4 linked regions of the Saccharomyces cerevisiae S288C genome follow. The gene in region 4 interacts genetically with the main gene of each other region. Each region holds a gene or a part of one and is shown on either strand. Other genes may lie near its edges. The genes, in order: HAP5, CYC2, DAL81 and PTK2.

Region 1 (3,676 bases), on a different chromosome or scaffold from region 4:
GGCTAATTGGTATTGAATGTGGCTGAGGGGACCAATTTTGATACAACAAGTTATCGGTATTTTCAGGGTCATTAGTTATAGGACTTGAAGAAAAGACTGAATCAATATTCAAAATTTGTGTGTCATCCCTATTAGGTATAGGTGATGCAATTGCAGGTAGCGGTGGGGAGATGAAGGGAGTGTTTGTCAAAGTCTCTATTTTTAACTTAGTATATTTCAAAACATCATCATTCAAAATGGAAAGGATATTGTCCATTACAGTATTTTGTTGGCTGCTGTTCAGCATGGATATCCAAGAACATAATTGGTTGATGTCTTGGCTGAAATTGGTGCCCATGTTCGGATCGTTTTTTTGGGATTGAGACTGTTGTTGCGATTGACGGGATTGCGGCAAAGGAATTGAACCACTCTGCGATGGAATACCCAAAATATTATTTGGAGATCTCTGAAATGAATCCAAATACATAGATGTTGAAGATAAAGTAGATTGCAACGCCTTTGGAGATTGCATCATGGGGGAAACGATAGCAGAACCAGCTGCTGTAGACGAAACTGTTTGAATATTAAGGGAAGGCAACGACGCCTGCTGTTGCTGTTGTTGCTGCTGCTGTTGTTGCTGGAGCGGCTGAGCCCTGGTTCCCGCAGTGTCTAGCATAAAGGATTGCTGATCAAGCATGTCATTGAGTGACATACTATGGGATTGAGGGGACAAAACATTCGCGGTCACGGATGAATTGCCCTGGTTATTGCCAGAATTGCTGCCCGGATTGTTCTTGTTTATGGCAGAAGATTGTGGTGATAGCAAAACGGCGCCTGGATGAGCTCCTCTAGACATGTTATATGGTGACTTGGAACCTGTGGGGAATTCCTCATACGGATGTTTCATGATTTCTTTGCTGACAATTACTTTATATGAACAGTTTTTCTCTTCTGAAAACAATATCTATAGTATATACAGTGATCTAGATTGCCCAAGGGACGAAGTACCAGTGTGACTGCAAAACACAATGTATTCGAGACAATCCTATGGTAGTAGTAGTAGTCGTTGTTAGATATCTCATCGCCAATTTGCTACCAAACTTATTCTGGAAAAAAATAATGAAAAAAATTTGCGTTTTTTCTTTTTCCAACAGATAATTTGCTGTGGTGCACGGTCAAATGGCAGCTGTATAACCATTAACTCTCTCATTGTGGAAGAGGTCTTCTAGGCACAACATCGATGAGAAAGTCAAACATGTCACTCTTTTGCAGGGCCTCTGCGATATCTGCCTTCTGCAAAGTTCGTCTTTTATTCCTTTCTGCCACGCACCAAGCTCTCATAGTCAGTTCTGTAATAAAGATCTCACAGGCTTTGGCGAAAATGATGGGGGCCTCTGCACTAATCATCTTGACATCTTCATCCGTCTTCATGACCTTGCGGATTCTCGCAAATGGTAAGGAATGTGATTTGAAGTCATCTTGATGCTCGGAACCAGGTTCATTCGTAGACTCGATCTCGTTGATTAATTCTTGCCAATAACGGATCATTATCTCCTTGTAGTGGCCCACCAATCCCTGACCAACGTTCCTAAACACATCATACTCTTCATCGTCCTCGTCCATTTCTCCGTCTGCGCCGTCGCTGTTTCCATTATCTTCGCCTTCAAGCGATCCTCGACCACTTGGCGGTAGATTAGCTTGGTCATGGCCCGCCTGGATAGCTTGCAACTCCTGTACCATCCGGAACTCTTCCTCAGAAACAGGTAGCCTCGTATTTTCCCCTTCCCCTTCGTTTTCTTGCAGTTGTTGCTGTTCTGAATATTGCCTTGGCATATTCATTTCCTCTCTCTGAATCATCGTACTGGGTTGCGGTCCCTCCGGGAGCGATTCTTGAGGTCCTTGTCCTTGTTGTGGTGAGAAATTCCTATCAGTCATTATGCGAGTAAACAATCCTGATGCTGCAAATGCGTCACAACTCTTACATTATCTCCTATTCCCCTCTATTCTTCTTCTTTGCTTACGCGGTATTATAGCAGCTAAGGAAGCTTAATCTCCGGAAGCAATCTTAAGGGAGCCGTCCCACGCAAATTTAAGTTTAACTACGGAAAAGGGAGCACAACACTCTTCGATTTTGACATTTCGGGATTTCTACACTCTAGTAAGTATTGCGCTAGGAGGGACCATGATTTACTATGAGGACTTGGCTATGGGGTGCTCAGAATTGCATAAGTGAACTCGAGGATAGCTTTGGGCACTATCACGTACTAAGTGATATGTATTGATATGTAAACCTGCAATGAATGAATGGATTAAAACGGATCTTAATACTGCATAAAAGAGGACGGCAAGAACAGCTGAGAAGCGGTACGCATCTACACAAAGTATGCCAAGAGAATTCAAATCCTTTGGGTCTACAGAAAAGTCTTTGCTGTCAAAAGGACATGGAGAGCCTAGTTACAGCGAAATATACGCTGAGCCTGAGAACTTTTTAGAGATTGAGGTGCACAACCCTAAAACTCATATACCAAATGGGATGGATTCGAAGGGGATGTTTACAGATTACGAAATAATATGCCGTACAAACTTGCCAAGTTTTCACAAGAGGGTATCGAAAGTAAGGAGACGATACTCAGACTTTGAATTCTTCCGCAAATGCTTGATCAAGGAAATTTCTATGCTTAATCACCCAAAAGTCATGGTACCTCATTTACCGGGTAAAATTCTCTTGAGTAATAGATTTAGTAACGAAGTCATTGAAGAGAGGAGACAAGGTTTGAATACCTGGATGCAATCGGTAGCCGGGCACCCGCTTTTACAATCTGGTTCTAAAGTTCTCGTGAGGTTCATTGAAGCTGAAAAGTTTGTCGGCTGAAAAGAACTCTTTTACGTGAATAAATAATATAGATTATATAAAAGAATGAATAGAAAAATTTAAATAAATAATGAATAAAATAATTAAATAAATAATGAATCCTGTGATTAAGTTAGCGTGTACTTTGGTCCATCTCCACCTTCGGGTACTTTCCAAGTAATATCTTGTCTGGGCGCCTTAATATCACAGGTCTTGCAATGGATACAATTTTGTGAATTGATTTGCAGTCTCGTACCCACAGGCGATTTTTCATCTTTGACGAATTCGTAGACACCTGCTGGGCAGAACCTCGATTCAACACCTTTCCAAACGGGAAAGCTTCTCTCGGCGTACTTTACCATATCTTGTCCAGGAACCCTCAAGTGACATGGTTCATCATCATCATGGTAGGTTCCGGTTCTAGACACGGAGGTCAATATATCAAAGGATATCACACCATCAGGCTTGGGGTATTCTATCGGTTTGTACTTGGAAGCAGGTTCCAAAATTTCACCGTCATTTTTTTCATCAAATTTCAGTGTCCACGGAACTTTTCCCTTCAATATCAAAGAATCGATTCCAGAGTAGATCATACCACCATATCCACCAAGTTTCCCGCTGAAGGACGGTCTAATATTACGCACTTCGTATAGTTCCTTATATATCGATGATTCTTTGAATGCACTTTCATATGATTCCAAGTTAATAGTTGCCTCCTTATCAAACATAGCCATTTTGGCGTCTTCGTCTTCAACCTCTTCTAAGACAGGTAACCCTTTTATGGACTCAAAGATACTTTCAGCGGCAAGTAATCCACTCTTCATCGCAGTATGAGTACCCTTGATC
Region 2 (4,243 bases), on a different chromosome or scaffold from region 4:
ACGAACTTAATAGAAAGGGTAGGATTAAGAATTTACAGAGATTTGCTAGGACAATATTAATGAAAGAGGGATTTGAAAATATGGAGGAGATCGTAACTTTGTCTCACCTGGAAAATAAAATCCTAATAAGTATCAGATTGGAGGAGCCTGAAGAGTTTTCGAAGCTAATGATGGTTTATTGCATCCGTCTGAGTGAATTGGGGTATATGGACCGTTTGAACGATGTTTTTCAATGGTTATATGATGATCTCCCCATCAGTGGTACCGGGTCAGCATTTGCCGATAAAGATTTTAAGAGGAACCTTCTAAAAAAGATACTAATTGCATGCGGTGATATCAGACAGGTTCAAAGAGTTACTACACGTTATGCCAAGGAAATGAATATAATATCTTAGTTTGGCTTTAACAATGTATAGTTTAAACTCTTATATTTTTCATTATATTCATTATCTACAGTATGTAATATTATTGTAATTGCCTTCTTAATCTCGAACGTTAAATTATGAAAGTTTATACACATTATCGGAGTTCCAGCCTTCTTTGGAAAGTAACCCTCCTACTGGTCCCTGATTAAGATCGTATTTTCTTCCAGATATGCTACTAATATAACTTTCGGGGCCGCATACCAATGCCAACACAGGCATAATATTCTTGTTGTTAACGTTGGAAAAGGGGAGCAGACCTTTGTATGGGTAGGGCTTCGTGATTGATTTCTGGATACTTTTCAATACGTCTTGTTTAGTTTGTCGGTCTGTTTCAAAAATTTTTAACTGGACCCTGTTTGAAGCTTGAAGTCTTAAAAGGATAGGATACAAGGGTCCCAGTTGTTTAATGTTCTTATCCGTATGAAATAACTTTATAGTACCTCTAAATGGTGATTCAGTCAAAAGTAGTTGCAACGCAGTAACTATTCCGGTACCAGCGGTGAACATCATTATGTCATAAGGCTGGTAAATAAATTGGGAATTTTCTCTAACGTTATTGCCCCTTTCATTGCGATTATCCATGTATAAACAATCGCGAGATCTTTTTAGCTCATTAGGCAAATGAGGAAACTCATAATCGATAAACGGGCCTCTTATTTCAATTATATGTCCCTTGGGAAGATGGTGTAACCATCTTGCAACTTCTCCATTCTCATACTTCTTAATATAGAAAGATAATTTTCCATCTGCATTGTCACCATCTTTTAAGATTTCAATCTCTTTTGAAGCTGGGTTAAATTTAAGCGGTAGAGGCGTATAATTGCGGACCACCATGACTTCCGGTTGTTTGATCTCGACGGACCACAGATTTTCCGCAGTCATCAATGACCATATGTTAACTTTCTGCTTAAACAACGGAGTTACTTCCAATAAAAAATGTGATGAATCAATATCTCGCTTGTGTGAAATCTTGTACTTGACAAAATAAGATGGAGATAACTCATGTTTGTTTTCCCTCTCACTTGTGTACCTGTAGGTTAAATAACTGCTTACTGCTCCAACTGTCAGTAGGCAGCCTGTGATAAAAAAGTTCTTAGAGAAGCTGCTCTTTCTAGGTGACTTATGAAGCCTACGTGTTATTCGGGAACTGGATAGAACATAATTTTTCCACAGCATGCTACTTTTTCTTTTTTTCGTTTCCTCTTTTCTATTTTTGAAGGGTTCTTTCAACACGTTGCACTCTTCGAAGTTGTATTTTTCACTTGGGTTAAGTGAATTTTCACTCTTCATTAGGGTATGATGATATTAACAACATTTCAGAAGGGCAAGGAAAGGCGAAAAACTGAATTATGGAATATACTCTCTCTTTGCGGCTGGTTAAGATGCGACGGCGTAGAAATATTATGAGAGAGCCCATGCATTGTACAGTGAAAGTGCAAAACAAGTTCATTAACACGAATCTGTTTTAAGTGTATATATTATGTATATGATATTTGACGACGTGTGTTGGTTTGGTTTACAATTTCATAATGAGAAAAATAAAAAGAAGCATTACGAGAAGCACAATCAACAAATACACCCTCCATCTGCTCGTACGTTTTTGGTACCGCATGGCCTTCCTTAGCTCGTCTGAAGCCAATTGAGTGTTATCTGACGTTGTATAAATATTTGCTTCAATATTGTCAACTAGCACACCCTGCTGTTGAACAACACTTCCCAAATCTTTAAAAACTTCGTTCAGTTCCGTTATACCTCTTTCAATATTGCTGATTTCCTGGTCTCTTTGCTCGATAAGATTTTGCTGATAAGCAAACTCTTCGTTATTTATCGGGTCTCTCTCAATGACTATTTGGCTGCCTGGTATTCGAGTACTTTTTGAGCTATTCTGCCTTTGTTCTTCATCTAATAAAGCAGCATCATTTGCCATCTCACTTGCTTCAAGAGATTCTTTTGCTCTTTCATTAACTTGTTTCATTACTTGGGTAAACTGCCGCTGAATACCTTGAAACTCTTGAAAAGAGTAACTGACATCCCTCACAAGTTTCTCTCTCGCTATTATTTGAGTCTTATCCAGGCTAGCTTCCTCAATCGCATCCATCTTTTTCACTGATGTATTGACCTTTTTAATGAGCCCGCCTATTTCTTCTATCTTTGCCACAGATCTCTTATTAATTCTTTCCACAACTTTCGCACTAACATCTCCCCGATCTATAAATGACTTAAGTGTCGCGGTAAACTGCTGCAGCGTGCTTATTTGCCCATTTATTTCAAATAACTCTGCAGCAACCTCTTCTTTCAACGTTTGGAACTCAGGTGAATCACTGAATCTGGAACCGTTCCAAACGGCTTCATTATCACCACCAAAAAATTCGTCTTCCGACATCTCAACACAATTATTGTAGTAATTTACGTTATATTCTTCTATAAAAGCATTCTCTTTGGAGTGATAGCAGGCCTGTTTTATAGGGGATTATACTCTGGCGCAGTAGTTCATCGTCGATCATGATGATTATCAGCCGCGATAAGGCACGAAGGCTTAAATCCAATTACGAATCTTCTACTTAATAGTGAAGACGTTTTATCTAAACTACTCACATGAAAAGATTACTAAAAAATTAGAATCACGATGCCACTGTGTGAGAAAGGGAATGATCCAATCGATAGCTCTACTATTGATAGCCTCTGCGCTGCATTTGACAAGACTTTGAAATCCACCCCTGATGTCCAAAAATACAATGATGCTATAAATACAATTTTCCAGCTAAGGCAAAAATCTGAATCTGGGAAAATGCCGGCTGATTTAACGAATAGTGAAGCCCTTAAAGATCGTCAGAAAATCGAAGAAATATTGACCAGGTCTTACCAAGACCATTCTGAGTCCCGCGTACATTTATCTAAACTTATACAGAATGATATTCCCTTCGCACTCAATTTATTTGAAATATTATCAAGATCATCCATCCACGTTTTCGTTGGTTGCTTTTCCAATAAAGACGCAACAATTGCATTGTTAAATGAGCTGCAAATTAGGATACACTATGGCGAGGACACCCACGTCACGTATTTACTGAGCATAATTCTACAACTATTGAATAAGTTCAAGTACAATTTCAAGGAGGTGCGATTTTTAGTGAAGGAACTTATTTTGCGCATAAGCGAAGATGAAGTAAAATCGATGATGCTTATAATTTTTGCTGAATTACAATCAAGCTTCCAAAAAGACTTTGATAAAGCAGTGGTCGATTTCATGAGTAGCTTAATTGTGGAGGCAGAAATAGACGTTGGAAATGATCCATTGTCCATCATAGTCAAAACCCTATCAGAATTATATCCTTCATTGACAACACTTTGTTCTGAAATATTTTTGACCAAAGGACTAAGTAAGCTTTTTAAGAAGAGAGTATTCGAAGAGCAGGATTTACAGTTTACAAAAGAACTGCTGCGGTTATTATCTTCCGCGTGTATTGATGAGACCATGAGAACGTATATTACAGAAAATTACCTTCAACTATTGGAAAGATCACTAAACGTGGAAGATGTACAAATATATTCTGCATTGGTGTTAGTTAAGACATGGTCTTTCACAAAATTAACGTGTATAAACTTGAAGCAACTGTCCGAAATCTTTATAAACGCTATTTCAAGACGTATCATGCCAAAAATTGAAAATGTCAATGAAAGTGCGGTTAAGCTCGAGGAGGTTCCTAAAGTTGAAATGTCCGTTGAAGCGCTGGCATATTTAAGTCTAAAGGCCTCGGTTAAGATTATGATTAGGAGTAACGAGAGCTTTACTGAAATTCTATTAACTATGATTAAAA
Region 3 (6,140 bases), on a different chromosome or scaffold from region 4:
TCGAGCAGTTGAGGGGTCGTCTCGTTGAAGATGGCAAAGTCAACTTGTTTAGTGTTTTCCTGACAAACGACTCATTTTCTTTTTGCAAGATGACCGTTGATGATAAGTTCAACACTAGCTTGGTCGATTGGCAAAAAATACCCTTTGACAGTACATTTGCAACTGACAGAAGACAGAATATCAGTTTACTACCTGTTGATACACTGTTTGCAACTGAAAAGATCATATCGATTCTTGGTGTATCTCCTAATATGACGAATCTTGTTTCTATAGAAAGAGAGCGATCAGACCTGGTGGATTTTAATTGTAAACTGCAATCAAACATCCTAGAACACCTACTATACGCGAAATGCCAAGGAGTGTACGTAACTTCTACCAATGAAAAAGCTCGTTTGCTTGCAGCTGTCTGCAATCCTGAATTCATTGACACCTTCTGGTGCGAATTGACTCCCATAAGAGTCTCATTAAAGGAAAACCCTTCCATTTCTGTACCTCGAGAATATCAGATGTACGATCCGGTGGTACGTGCCACTATAAAGGAGGTTGTCACCAAGCGATTACTGCGATCCGCCTTCGATAATGACATCGACCCGCTAATGTGTCTTCATTTGGATAAAGGCTGGAAACTTAAATTCCCCATACTATCCTCGACAACGGGCCTAAACTTCTCCCTGAAGGATTGTCTTTCCCTGGACACAGGAAAAGATGCATCTGATATGACAGAGGTGTTTCTCGCTACTATGGAGTCGAGTAAAGTTCTTCGTACGTATAGCAACCTCGTTGACATTGTGATGAAGGACAATGGTAGGTTGGACTCAGGCGTCCTAAAGCAATTCAACGACTACGTTAAGCAAGAAAAGCTCAATCTACAACATTTTCAGGCCGGTTCCTCAAAGTTTCTCAAAGGCGCAAAGATATAATCCTCTTATATAGCATGTAAATAGAAAGTACGTAAAAAAAAGCTACTATTGACTTTATTCTCCGTGAGGGCGGTTCTTTCTGTAGCTGTTGGTTTTTTCCAGATCTTATGTGACACACCTGCACAACAATGTCATTCTCTGTCAGCTGCAAGACTCCCAAGACCACGAAGCTGCTGGTATCTTCTATTTCAGAGAGCGCTGTTGCTCTTATTATTATTACCATACGTATACTTTTTTCCATTGGCAAAAGCGATTTCAAAAAAATAATCTCCAAGGAAATAAATGGTGCAGAAACAATATACTACAGAAATATACCGGAAAGTAAACCCCAAGGGAGTTAGCACAAGATGAATCTAAGATTTGAATTGCAGAAACTATTGAACGTTTGCTTTTTGTTTGCATCTGCTTACATGTTCTGGCAAGGCTTAGCCATTGCTACTAATAGCGCTTCTCCGATCGTGGTGGTGCTTTCAGGCTCCATGGAACCAGCTTTCCAAAGGGGTGATATCCTTTTCCTATGGAATAGAAATACTTTCAACCAAGTAGGTGATGTCGTGGTGTATGAGGTCGAAGGGAAACAAATCCCCATTGTGCATAGAGTTTTGAGGCAACATAACAATCACGCGGACAAGCAATTCCTCCTGACCAAAGGTGACAATAACGCCGGCAATGATATCTCACTATATGCTAATAAGAAAATTTACTTGAACAAGTCAAAGGAGATTGTAGGGACCGTCAAGGGCTACTTTCCACAACTAGGGTACATTACGATTTGGATTAGCGAGAACAAATATGCCAAGTTTGCATTGTTAGGTATGTTGGGGTTGAGTGCTCTGCTGGGGGGCGAGTAGTTCGCCAAGTTTTTTTGGAACGATGTTTACGTACTTTGTATTTGTGCTTATGGTCTTTAACTTGTTTAATTATATAACCATAACCATTCGGTCCACGCTGAAAACAAAATATTGTCTTAGGACACGCTTTGAGAATTATTGAAAAAGGAGCTCCCACAGTGATGTAGGCAATTCAACAGAGATGATTTGTGTCATTTTTTATAAGGTGATACCGTCGCTCATTAACTCGATATCTTGAAAAGGCATATGTGTCGGTAATTGAGACCGCTAGGTTTAACTTCTCGAATAAAAAATGGTCTAAGCTGCATAAGCATATAGAATTGTACAATCAGTGTATAGGTAGAGCAGAAGCAGTCCAAGATTCGAGCTAATAATACTCATATAATATCCATCGCGATGGGTATTATATGAAACATAACAATCGTACATGGTGATTGAAAATAATAGATGATAAGAATCATTTTCAAATAATAGTGTAGATCTTAAAAACTCTTGGCCTGTTTAGACGAGCGGCAGAACGACAGGCAGCCATACTATCAAATGGACCCTCACCAATCACCAGCTGATAATGCCGCATCGCCTACGAAGAGCGTGAAGGCAACCACTAAAAATTCGTCCACGAATAATAATGTCAATAGCAACAACAGCAATAATAACAGTAACCATGATATACTGAATTTTAATGATAACTATACTACCATTCTGCAACATTTGGCAAACGACCATCCTAATATACTGAGGGAGAAAGGAGGATCACAACAACAACAGCATCAGCAGCAGCAACAACAGCAACAACAGCAGCAACAACAGCAGCAACAACAGAGCCTGGATACCCTTTTGCACCATTATCAAAGTTTACTCTCCAAGAGTGATAATGCAATAGCCTTTGATGACAATGTTAGTAACAGCGCAGATCATAATGGCAGTAATAGCAACAATAATAACAACAATAATGACATATCTAGTCCCGGTAATCTGATGGGATCTTGCAATCAATGTAGATTAAAGAAAACAAAGTGCAACTATTTTCCCGACCTAGGCAACTGTCTCGAATGTGAAACGTCAAGAACTAAATGCACCTTCAGTATTGCTCCAAATTATTTGAAAAGAACGTCCTCTGGGGCAAACAATAACATGCCAACCTCTTCAAACTCCAAACGAATGAAAAATTTTGAAGACTATTCGAATCGCTTACCCAGTAGCATGCTCTATAGACATCAACAGCAGCAGCAACAGCAACAGCAGCAACAGCGTATACAATACCCCAGATCCTCTTTTTTCGTCGGTCCGGCCTCAGTTTTCGATTTGAACTTGACCAAGCATGTAAGACTAGATAATGTTGACCAAATACAGCTATCAAAAACTTTATCATTAAGAAAGGTGTCTCCTACCGCACAGTTTATTCTTCAGGACGATTTTGACACGACCCTTCATAGTAAGCAAGAATACGAAGTTGATTTGGTCGAAAATCTGGTACATCCGCACGGTCACCTTTTAGTAGAGATTTTCTTCAAATTGATTCATCCTTTTCTTCCAATTTTACACGAACGTGTATTTTTGGAAAAGTATTCTAGATCTTATAGAGAACTCACTGCGCCTTTACTGGCATCCATTTACTCACTGGCATTACAATATTGGGATTTTCATCCTGCACTTTTGGGGTTCCCTAAACCCGATGTAACTGCTCAACTAAACAATATCGCATTGGAAACATTTTATGCTCGAGTTGGAAGGCCAAAATTGAGCATTATACAAACAGGCCTTTTGATTTTGCAATGCCGTAGTGAATGTCATAACAACTGGGTCCTCTGCTCCAGCGTAGTGGCCCTTGCAGAGGAATTGGGGCTCGGGGTTGAATGTAATGATTGGAAACTTCCCAAATGGGAAAAAGATTTGAGAAAGAGATTAGCGTGGGCAGTTTGGTTGATGGATAAATGGTGTGCATTAAACGAAGGTAGACAATCCCATTTAATTTTAGGTAGGAACTGGATGATCAAGCTATTAAACTTTGATGATTTTCCTCTGAATTCGCCCACTATTTTAAATTCCTTGCAAAATGACCAGTCGGGGTCTTCACCCTCGTCATCAAATGATGTGAAAAACCATCAGATAGCATTTGGTAACTTGCCCATATTTAACATAAACCCCACTTTAGAAGATTTCAAGAATGGAACGCTTATGTTTCAACAAATGGTTTCCTTGAGTATAATTCTTGGGGAAATCATGGACACATTTTACACTCAGGGATCCATGACAATAAACAAAAGCATTGAACAGGTATTGAAACTGGCAAAGCCGTTGCAACTGAAATTAAGAGAATGGTACCATTCCCTACCCAAGAATTTGTCAATGAGTTATGCCACGCCACAAAAATTGAACTCAAATTCAACTTTAACTCTAGCTTATTTTGCCACGGAAATTACGTTACATAGGAAAATTATCTGTGCCTTGAATCCTCAAACTCCAAAGGAACTGGTTCAAGTATGCAGGACTGCTGCAAGAACCAGGCTTGTAGCAGCAATTGAATTTATAAGAGATCTAAAAAACGAACATATTAATGCTTTTTGGTATAACTGCTCAACTGGAAATCTGATGCTAATTGGAACATTTGCTGCCCTGCTGTATGTGACTTCAGCTACGAAGGAAGAGGCTATGATTTTCAGAGATTATGTTAGAAATTATACCTGGGTATTGAAGATAGGTTCCAAATACTTTGATAAACTATCGAATGCTTTGAATAATATGCATTTACTATTTGCACAAATTCCTGGTCTTCTGACCGATGAACCGGTGGTCGTGAGCCCTAACTCTAACATCAATTCCGTTAACCCACAAAGGTCAGGTGTACAATCGCAAATCCCAATACAATTTAACGTGGGATCACCTGCCATGACCGAGCAAGGATCTCCTTTAAACCAGTGGAAGAATTTGCCCCAGGAAATCTTGCAACAACTAAACTCCTTTCCCAACGGTACGACCAGTACAACAACGCCAGTAAACCCCACTTCCAGACAAACACAACTAGAATCGCAGGGAAGTCCAGCCATAAATAGTGCTAATAATAATAGCAACAACACGCCTTTACCATTTGCGCCAAATAAGTCTTCTAAAAAAACTTCACAATCTTCACCAAATGTTACGCCCTCTCATATGAGCAGACACCCCCCCTCTAATACATCTTCACCAAGAGTCAATTCCAGCACAAATGTCAACTCTAATACACAAATGAATGCTTCTCCCTTGACCTCAATTAACGAAACCAGACAAGAGTCAGGTGACGCTGCAGATGAAAAAACAGCAGGAAGAGAAAGAACCGCCAACGAGGAATCATCAACGGAACTCAAGGACGATAATCCAAACTCGAACCAGGAAACAAGCGCAACTGGTAACCAAACTATAAAAATGAATGATGATAAAAATGTAACAATTAACACAAGGGAAACCCCTCTGTAATATAAATAATAGCACATAAGTAAAAATGGAATACGGTAATAACTATATAGAAATATCTTCTGCAGGACCAAGGTTACTGAGTGGTGAATGTAAAATTATTTATTCGCTTGCGTTATATTTACATGTGGTATATCCGGATGCATAGAGCCTACTATAGAAATTTTGGGATTTTATCATGTTCTTTGGCGATTTCATTCAAATCACCTGGTTGGTTCATCATCATATGGACATCACCACTTAGGTAAACCTTTTCATCTTCTTTTTTCGACTTTTCTAAATCTTTTAGAACATTCAAATCAGTGACAATCCCTTCTTTGTTCTTAACGCCAGCATCTGGAGTTTTTTCGATTACTTCTTTTTTTGCCTCGTCTATTATACTTTGCCAGATCTCTTCCAATGACTCTTCCTTAGGAACCACAATATCAGTCTCATCTTCCTTCATCCCAGTTGCGTTCTTGCCGACGATTCCTAAACGCAAATTCACAAGTTTCAATTCATCATCTGCGTCGAAGTCTACCTTTCCATTATTATCATGAACCCTCCGTATCAGCTCTTTCAATTTATCAAGTTTTAGCTTATATTTCCTTTCCATATCAATAATGTTCCTTTTCTCGGCTATTACTGCGTTTAATATCGACCCAAATATCATTACCAAAAGTAAAGGTTTGATCATTGTTTTATCAAATCTTGACTTTCTCTTAATGCCCGCATTTGCTGATGCAACAGTTCTAGCGGTTATCTTTATGGGAGCAAGGCTCCTTAAAAATAGACCATTTCTTAACACTTGTCTTGCCATAAACATTTTTCCTTACACCTTTTACGTATGACTTGTCTTTCCTTGTTGTTACTTTTTCCCTGCTCATTATATCACATAAGATGTAAATTAGAGGATGCGTAAAATAGTTCAACTGTGCTA
Region 4 (5,890 bases):
TTTCCCAGTTCTTCCTGCAGTTTCTCATTTGCACTGGCTAATTGCGATGCGTTTTGCTCGCTAAGCAATTTTTGTAACGTCCACTTTTCGATGTTTGCTTCATCGGTTTCTTTCAATTTTTGAATGTATTCAGCGGCACACGCCAATATTGCTGCCTTACTTGATTCTCTCACGGGCAGGAGGTCGCTTAAAACGTTGATTGCAGTGTTGATGTTTTCGCGGCGACGCCTTTCGACTTCTTTATGGGAGTCTTTTCTTTGCTTTTTCCACTCGTCTGTTGTGGCCAAAGTAGTAGGTTTTCTTCCACGACGACCCGGCTGCATGCTTATATCCTTTTTGAGATCAATGTCAGCGTCATCATTGTCTTCATCATCCTGTTGGTGTTCTGGCCCACGATCGTGTTCTGCCAATGGTATGAGCATGTCGTTTTTAGATTGCTGTGTAGATTCCATTGGTGAAGACGTCATTCCCTCCAGGGAGGTGTTTGGCTTGACTCCTTCATTTGATGGGGTTATGGCTCTTTCCCCATTAAGGGAATCCTTGTGCTCACCATTCGCGTTCGTTTGATTAGATGTGTGGGCATCAGAACTATCTTCCTGGCCCTGGATTAAGTCTGTATAATTGACGGTAGCGGCAACAGCAGCCTCAGCCACTGACGCATCTTCGTCATCACTTCCTTTCTCATCTTTGTTAGACGTCAGTCCGCTTTCATACTGACTTTGAGTCCCTTTTAGCGTAGCCCCTTCGCTCAACAGAGCAGAGTCAATATTTCCGTCATTGCTCTCTTGTGACAACAAGCCTTGATCTCTTTGCTTTTTCCTGGCCTCGCTGTAGTTCTGCTCCTCGTTATAGCCTCTTTTTCTTGCCGAATGGATTTCCTCATCCTCAGTAGAAAGCTTATTATTATTTGCCAGAGAGTTCATCGTTAATAAAAGTGTAGAAAACCGTATTATATTTTAAGCACTTGATGTTGGTACTTGTAGCAGAAATGAAAATGACCGCCAACTAAAATGATTAATTAACAAAGTGTTTATCTTTAAGGTATAATGGTTTACATTCTACATTAAATAAAAAAACGTGATAAGCACGTGGATAATTGTTGTTTGCCCAATACTTTTCTCGTCCGATTTTATTTTTTTTTTGACCTTGGTGGGTGAGACATGGTGGTCCCGAAGGATCCGAGAGGAATGAGAAAAACCGATCACGTACATCGATGTACGGGAAAAATAAATAATAAAATGTTTGTTTATTGTTTGAAGTAAAATATATAAGTACATATGTGGATTTATATGTGTGTGCTTTATTTCATTGTTTGATTTATCTTCCGTTCTTTATCTTTTCCCGGTGGGATATTTTATATAAAAAGCTTATAAGGAAGGGTATGAAAGAATATGACGATACTAAAGCATAAAAGAGGGAATTAAAGAAGTCCTAACGTCTATCTTGAGATAAAGGCGCTCACGGATGACATGTTTGTAACGCTGTTGGTAATGTCCAAGTGGTGGTGAATTACCTTCTTCTTTTTCGAGGATGACACGCTTGGACTTCCGAGGCTTCTCAGTGAATTGCTTGATGACGAAACATTCGGTGCGCTAAAGTTCTTTGTAGAAGCCGGTGTTTCCGATTTGAGTGATAGGTCGCTCATACGCTTATCTAATTGAGTGCCAGCCTTTGCAGGGAGCGGAGTGGGGCCATTATGTGTTGGTGTAGTAGGGGTGGAGTTTAGCATCGACTTTAATTCCTTCATTGTGGAATCATCTTCGCTTAAGTTGTCCTCTACTTTTGTGGAGGTTGGTGTTGGTTTTTCCAATATGCTGTCCACATTAGTCGTGGTAGCCTCTTCAATGACTTTGTCCTTGTCGCCGTTCTTGACCTCATCTTTCTTCAAATTTTCCTTTTTATCTTGCTGCTTAGGTTTGGTGCTTTCATTCCCCCCTTCATCCCCAACATCGTGTGTTTTGGTCTTTGCGCTATCTTTTACCTTGGATTTTTGTTTCAAGGAAGGAGATTCTGCAATTTCCAACATCGATCTTGGTTTAGAAGTGAGCGTTTCCTTTTTTAGGAATGGATTAGACGTGTGAATGACCTCTTGATCATGGGGTGCATCTAATGAATTTTCACTAAAATCATTGGTAGAAGTACTTTTCCTTAATTCAGGAACCCTTACTAAGTCATCATCATTTGGCTCGACACATGTTTCAATTTGTTGGAAAAACGGATCATTAAATAAATCATCCATTGTATATCTAGTTGCAGGGTTCGGGTCAGCCAATCTCCATGCGATACGCGTGGCATCAGTATTCTTGAAATTTCTTGCTAAAGAGTATTCGGAACCAGGACCCGGCTTGTGGCAGCCCTTGTCCCTGAAATGTGGGTTTTGATGATTGATGAAGTTGTCATATGACACTTCAAATTCCCTGAATCTCGCATCAGTGTTACAAGAATCGATGAAGGGGATGATATTGTTAATCATGGTAATCAGCATGATTCCGAGGGCATAGGAATCCATGGCCAACGGATTATAGGGTTTTTGGAACTTTTCGGGGTAGTGCTTCTTGGCATCGAAGTACATTACCTCTGGCGGAGTGTATGGTGGAGAGCCAATCATACCTTGGCATGTTTTCACTGGACTAGTGTAGTCATGAGGTATCACATGGTACCAATCAGAAATACCGAAATCCGTCAATTTGCATATACCTTCTTTAGAAATTAAAACATTTTCGGGCTTCAAATCACGGTGAGCAATACCATTGTCATGACAAAACTTAATACCTTGGGCCACTTGTTTGAAAAGACAATATTTTTCATTGAAGGGAACGTTCTTCCAGCCTGTTCTTTCCATCAGTTGGAAGAGGTCCTTAACACCTAGTTCCATAATAAACCCCCAACCACGAGTTGTATATGTGGTCGTGGGAACTTTTAGAAGATAAAAAGTATTCGTGATGTGAACGTTATGACTTAAATGCTTAGCTATGATGAATTCTTTGGAGCATCTCTTGTAAAACTTCTCGGGTGACTCGTGGTATATCATATTCAGTTTTTTTAGAGCGTAAACATCCTTTTGCCTGTAACTTGATTTAACCTTTCTAACTTCACTAGACCCACCCGAACCAATAGGTTTATTGTCCGTATCAAATACGAAATTATCCGTTAAATGGACACTATATTGTTTCATATCTTCGGGCAAAAAATCGTTCGGATTAGCAATTGGAAGGGGCAACATCCGTATCTTGCTGTTACCATCATGCATGTAAAAACTCAAATCGTTCTCCTTATTCGTATTCAGAGTGTCTGCAAATGCAGTATCTGGCCTAGCATGGTTTGGGCTTATGCCGTATGGATTATAAACTATATTCTCGTTGGGAAAATGGTGACTAGCCATGCTATTAGACCTTTGCGGTAAGCCCGCGTGATGAGTATTTCTTTCTTTGTTTCTCGCCCTTTCTTTTTCCTTTTCTCTATCCAAAACTGCTCTATCCCTATCTCTTGTCGAGGCAATGCCAGTACCTGTGCCCAGAATATCAGAGGGAGAGTTCAAGTAAGGGTTATTATTATGTTTAATTAAGTCCTGCAATGCGACAGAGGACTTGTGTGACGACACAGACCCATTTGAAAATCCTACAGAAGCATTGTTTTTTCTTCTATGTAAAGAAGCAGATCTCTGCCGTGCCCCAGCAGAAGACGAAGGTGAATTACCACCGCTACCACTGCCACTAATGGACGGAGACGTTGGCCTTTTTCTTAAACTTCTCCCATTGCCCAATTGTTCGGCACTAAGCAGTAACGAAGAGTTATCCGTGTGACTGCTGGAATTAAACAGGCGTTTTCCCAATAGTTTCAAAGTACTAACAGAGGGACTTTTATCTACCTCTTTGTCCTTACCGTTTCCCGCCATTATCTTATTCAATCGGTTAACCTGTAAAAAACTGCTACGGCTTACACAACTTTACTTTCCTGGTGTGCGTGCGATATCGTGGTTTGGATAAGGGTAGCGACGGGATGTGACAATACCTTTCTTTAACACTATATATAAACCTGCTTTTACCGTCAACCGGATATTATTTGGTTCTACCTCCCACCTGCAAGGGGTCGTGCCAATGACGAAAAGACAGCCACCCATGCACCGCACTCGCACGTGGCAACTATTTGCGCCTTTGCCCAAGAGGTTATGCTTGTAGATGGGGTGACCGTACTAAAGCGTTCATGTTGTATATACCATATATGTAGGCTTGAATGGCTATAGGACGCGGGTATGTTTATCATGCTGCCGGCACGTAGTACTTGCAGCTCCGGCATTTCTAAACTGTACCTGTAGTGGAAGGGTCTTTCCAATAGTTTTGCAAGACATATCATTTTGCACGCATAGAACAGTTTCGGATACTTTTGATACAAACGGGGAGGAATGGTTTATTCAGTAGGTACATTAAGAACGTTTGCCTTGAGATAGCGTTTGGTGCTGTTATTTTGTGAAGAACGGAGACTTGTTTGCTGTAAGGGATAAAAAAAATGGCAGTACAGTTTATACTGTGCTTTAATAAGCAGGGTGTGGTGCGGTTGGTGAGATGGTTCGATGTACACAGTTCGGATCCTCAGCGTAGCCAGGATGCCATTGCGCAGATTTATAGACTCATATCTTCCAGAGATCATAAGCATCAGAGTAACTTCGTAGAGTTTTCCGATTCGACGAAACTCATATACAGGAGGTATGCGGGTCTGTATTTTGTCATGGGTGTGGACTTACTTGACGATGAACCCATATATTTGTGCCACATCCATCTGTTTGTGGAGGTGCTAGATGCATTTTTCGGCAATGTCTGTGAACTGGATATCGTATTCAACTTTTACAAAGTCTATATGATAATGGACGAGATGTTTATTGGAGGGGAAATACAAGAAATTTCAAAGGATATGCTGTTAGAAAGACTAAGTATTTTAGATAGACTAGACTAGGATATATGTACAGATCCTCCTAGAAGAACGAAAATTTATCATGATCAATATGCGTACTCAAAACAGGCTCAACGATTTGCCAAATAAGCGCTTCAACTTCCTGAATGCCCTTATTAGTAACGTCTACAATCGTGATTGACTCATCGCCTTTCCTTATCTCTTTATCCAATAGCTTCATAAAAGTTTGCTTCACTTTTTCTTGAAACTTAACAGTTTCGTATCTTTCGTCACCAAATCCAGATTTTTCGGCGTTATTGTCGACATCTTGAGTGCTTAAAAATAATGTCAAATCCGGTTTCAGCAACCCTACATCGGGTTGCAAGCACCAATCCAAATCCATTCCATTTGTCCCCTTAGCGGCAGAATATGCCACTCCAGAATAAACATATCTGTCCATGACAATGTTCTTGCCTTCTAGTAAATCTTTCTTTATCTTGTCAACTATTTCCCATCTATTTGCCGAAAACAAGAGGTGAATTGCCTGATCTGATAATTGGAAACTATCATCCGTCAAATATTCGTTTATGAGTCCTCCGATTCGGGTAGACCTTTCGGGGAACTTCAATAGTTTACAGTTTGGTTGCAATTTTTTGTAAAGAATATTACATTGCGTGGTTTTACCAGTCCTATCCAATCCTTCTATCAGTATTAATTTGCCACGACCCATCATTCAAAATGGTGATCTTTCTGTCCACTATGAATCATATTTAGTTTAGAAGCGTACTTCTTGGGAAGACGTTACATTTTTTCGCCATCTTTAGCACCACGCCTAACGCGTCAAAAGTCACAACCGCATAGAAGCCGTTATTCTCTTCTTCATTTCTAAGCTATTTTCCAACTTTTTATATTATCAACTGTAACCTACTAGTTTAGGATATCGCTTTCTCCCTTTGTTACCAATGCACAATTATTTCGTAATTATAAAAATGGACCCGTGGAA

Evidence for each region.
Region 1: mutations in PTK2 (region 4) and HAP5 together harm fitness more than expected from each alone (negative genetic interaction), as found in Saccharomyces cerevisiae (3 studies listed by BioGRID).
Region 2: mutations in PTK2 (region 4) and CYC2 together harm fitness more than expected from each alone (negative genetic interaction), as found in Saccharomyces cerevisiae (3 studies listed by BioGRID).
Region 3: mutations in PTK2 (region 4) and DAL81 together harm fitness more than expected from each alone (negative genetic interaction), as found in Saccharomyces cerevisiae (2 studies listed by BioGRID).

Annotation. Positions count from the first base shown.
Region 1 is NC_001147.6:1,008,399-1,012,074, reverse strand, and holds HAP5 (Hap5p), read right to left. Parts: upstream 1,915-3,676; coding exon 1,186-1,914; downstream 1-1,185. Other genes in the region: VTS1 (Vts1p), read right to left, coding at 1-886; SNX3 (Snx3p), read left to right, coding at 2,363-2,851; CIR2 (electron-transferring-flavoprotein dehydrogenase), read right to left, coding at 2,959-3,676. UniProt on the Saccharomyces cerevisiae protein: Acts a component of the CCAT-binding factor, which is a transcriptional activator and binds to the upstream activation site (UAS2) of the CYC1 gene and other genes involved in mitochondrial electron transport and activates their expression.
Region 2 is NC_001147.6:398,913-403,155, reverse strand, and holds CYC2 (oxidoreductase), read right to left. Parts: upstream 1,602-4,243; coding exon 501-1,601; downstream 1-500. Other genes in the region: HIR2 (Hir2p), read left to right, coding at 1-395; SNAP receptor PEP12, read right to left, coding at 1,942-2,808; SHE4 (She4p), read left to right, coding at 3,052-4,243. UniProt on the Saccharomyces cerevisiae protein: Redox component that participates in c-type cytochrome biogenesis in the mitochondrial intermembrane space. May play a role in the reduction of heme prior to its ligation to apocytochrome c by cytochrome c heme lyase. Has oxidoreductase activity in vitro.
Region 3 is NC_001141.2:397,466-403,605, forward strand, and holds DAL81 (Dal81p), read left to right. Parts: upstream 1-2,311; coding exon 2,312-5,224; downstream 5,225-6,140. Other genes in the region: MRS1 (Mrs1p), read left to right, coding at 1-920; YIR021W-A (uncharacterized protein), read left to right, coding at 1,049-1,261; signal peptidase complex catalytic subunit SEC11, read left to right, coding at 1,268-1,771; INA22 (Ina22p), read right to left, coding at 5,376-6,026. UniProt on the Saccharomyces cerevisiae protein: Positive regulation of genes required for catabolism of GABA (UGA4, UGA1, and UGA2), urea (DUR1 and DUR2), arginine and allantoin.
Region 4 is NC_001142.9:543,792-549,681, reverse strand, and holds PTK2 (protein kinase PTK2), read right to left. Parts: upstream 3,896-5,890; coding exon 1,439-3,895; downstream 1-1,438. Other genes in the region: CBF1 (Cbf1p), read right to left, coding at 1-923; APS2 (Aps2p), read left to right, coding at 4,507-4,950; CDC8 (bifunctional thymidylate/uridylate kinase), read right to left, coding at 4,970-5,620. UniProt on the Saccharomyces cerevisiae protein: Essential determinant for high-affinity spermidine transport. Required for the activation of the plasma membrane proton pump PMA1 via phosphorylation of 'Ser-899'.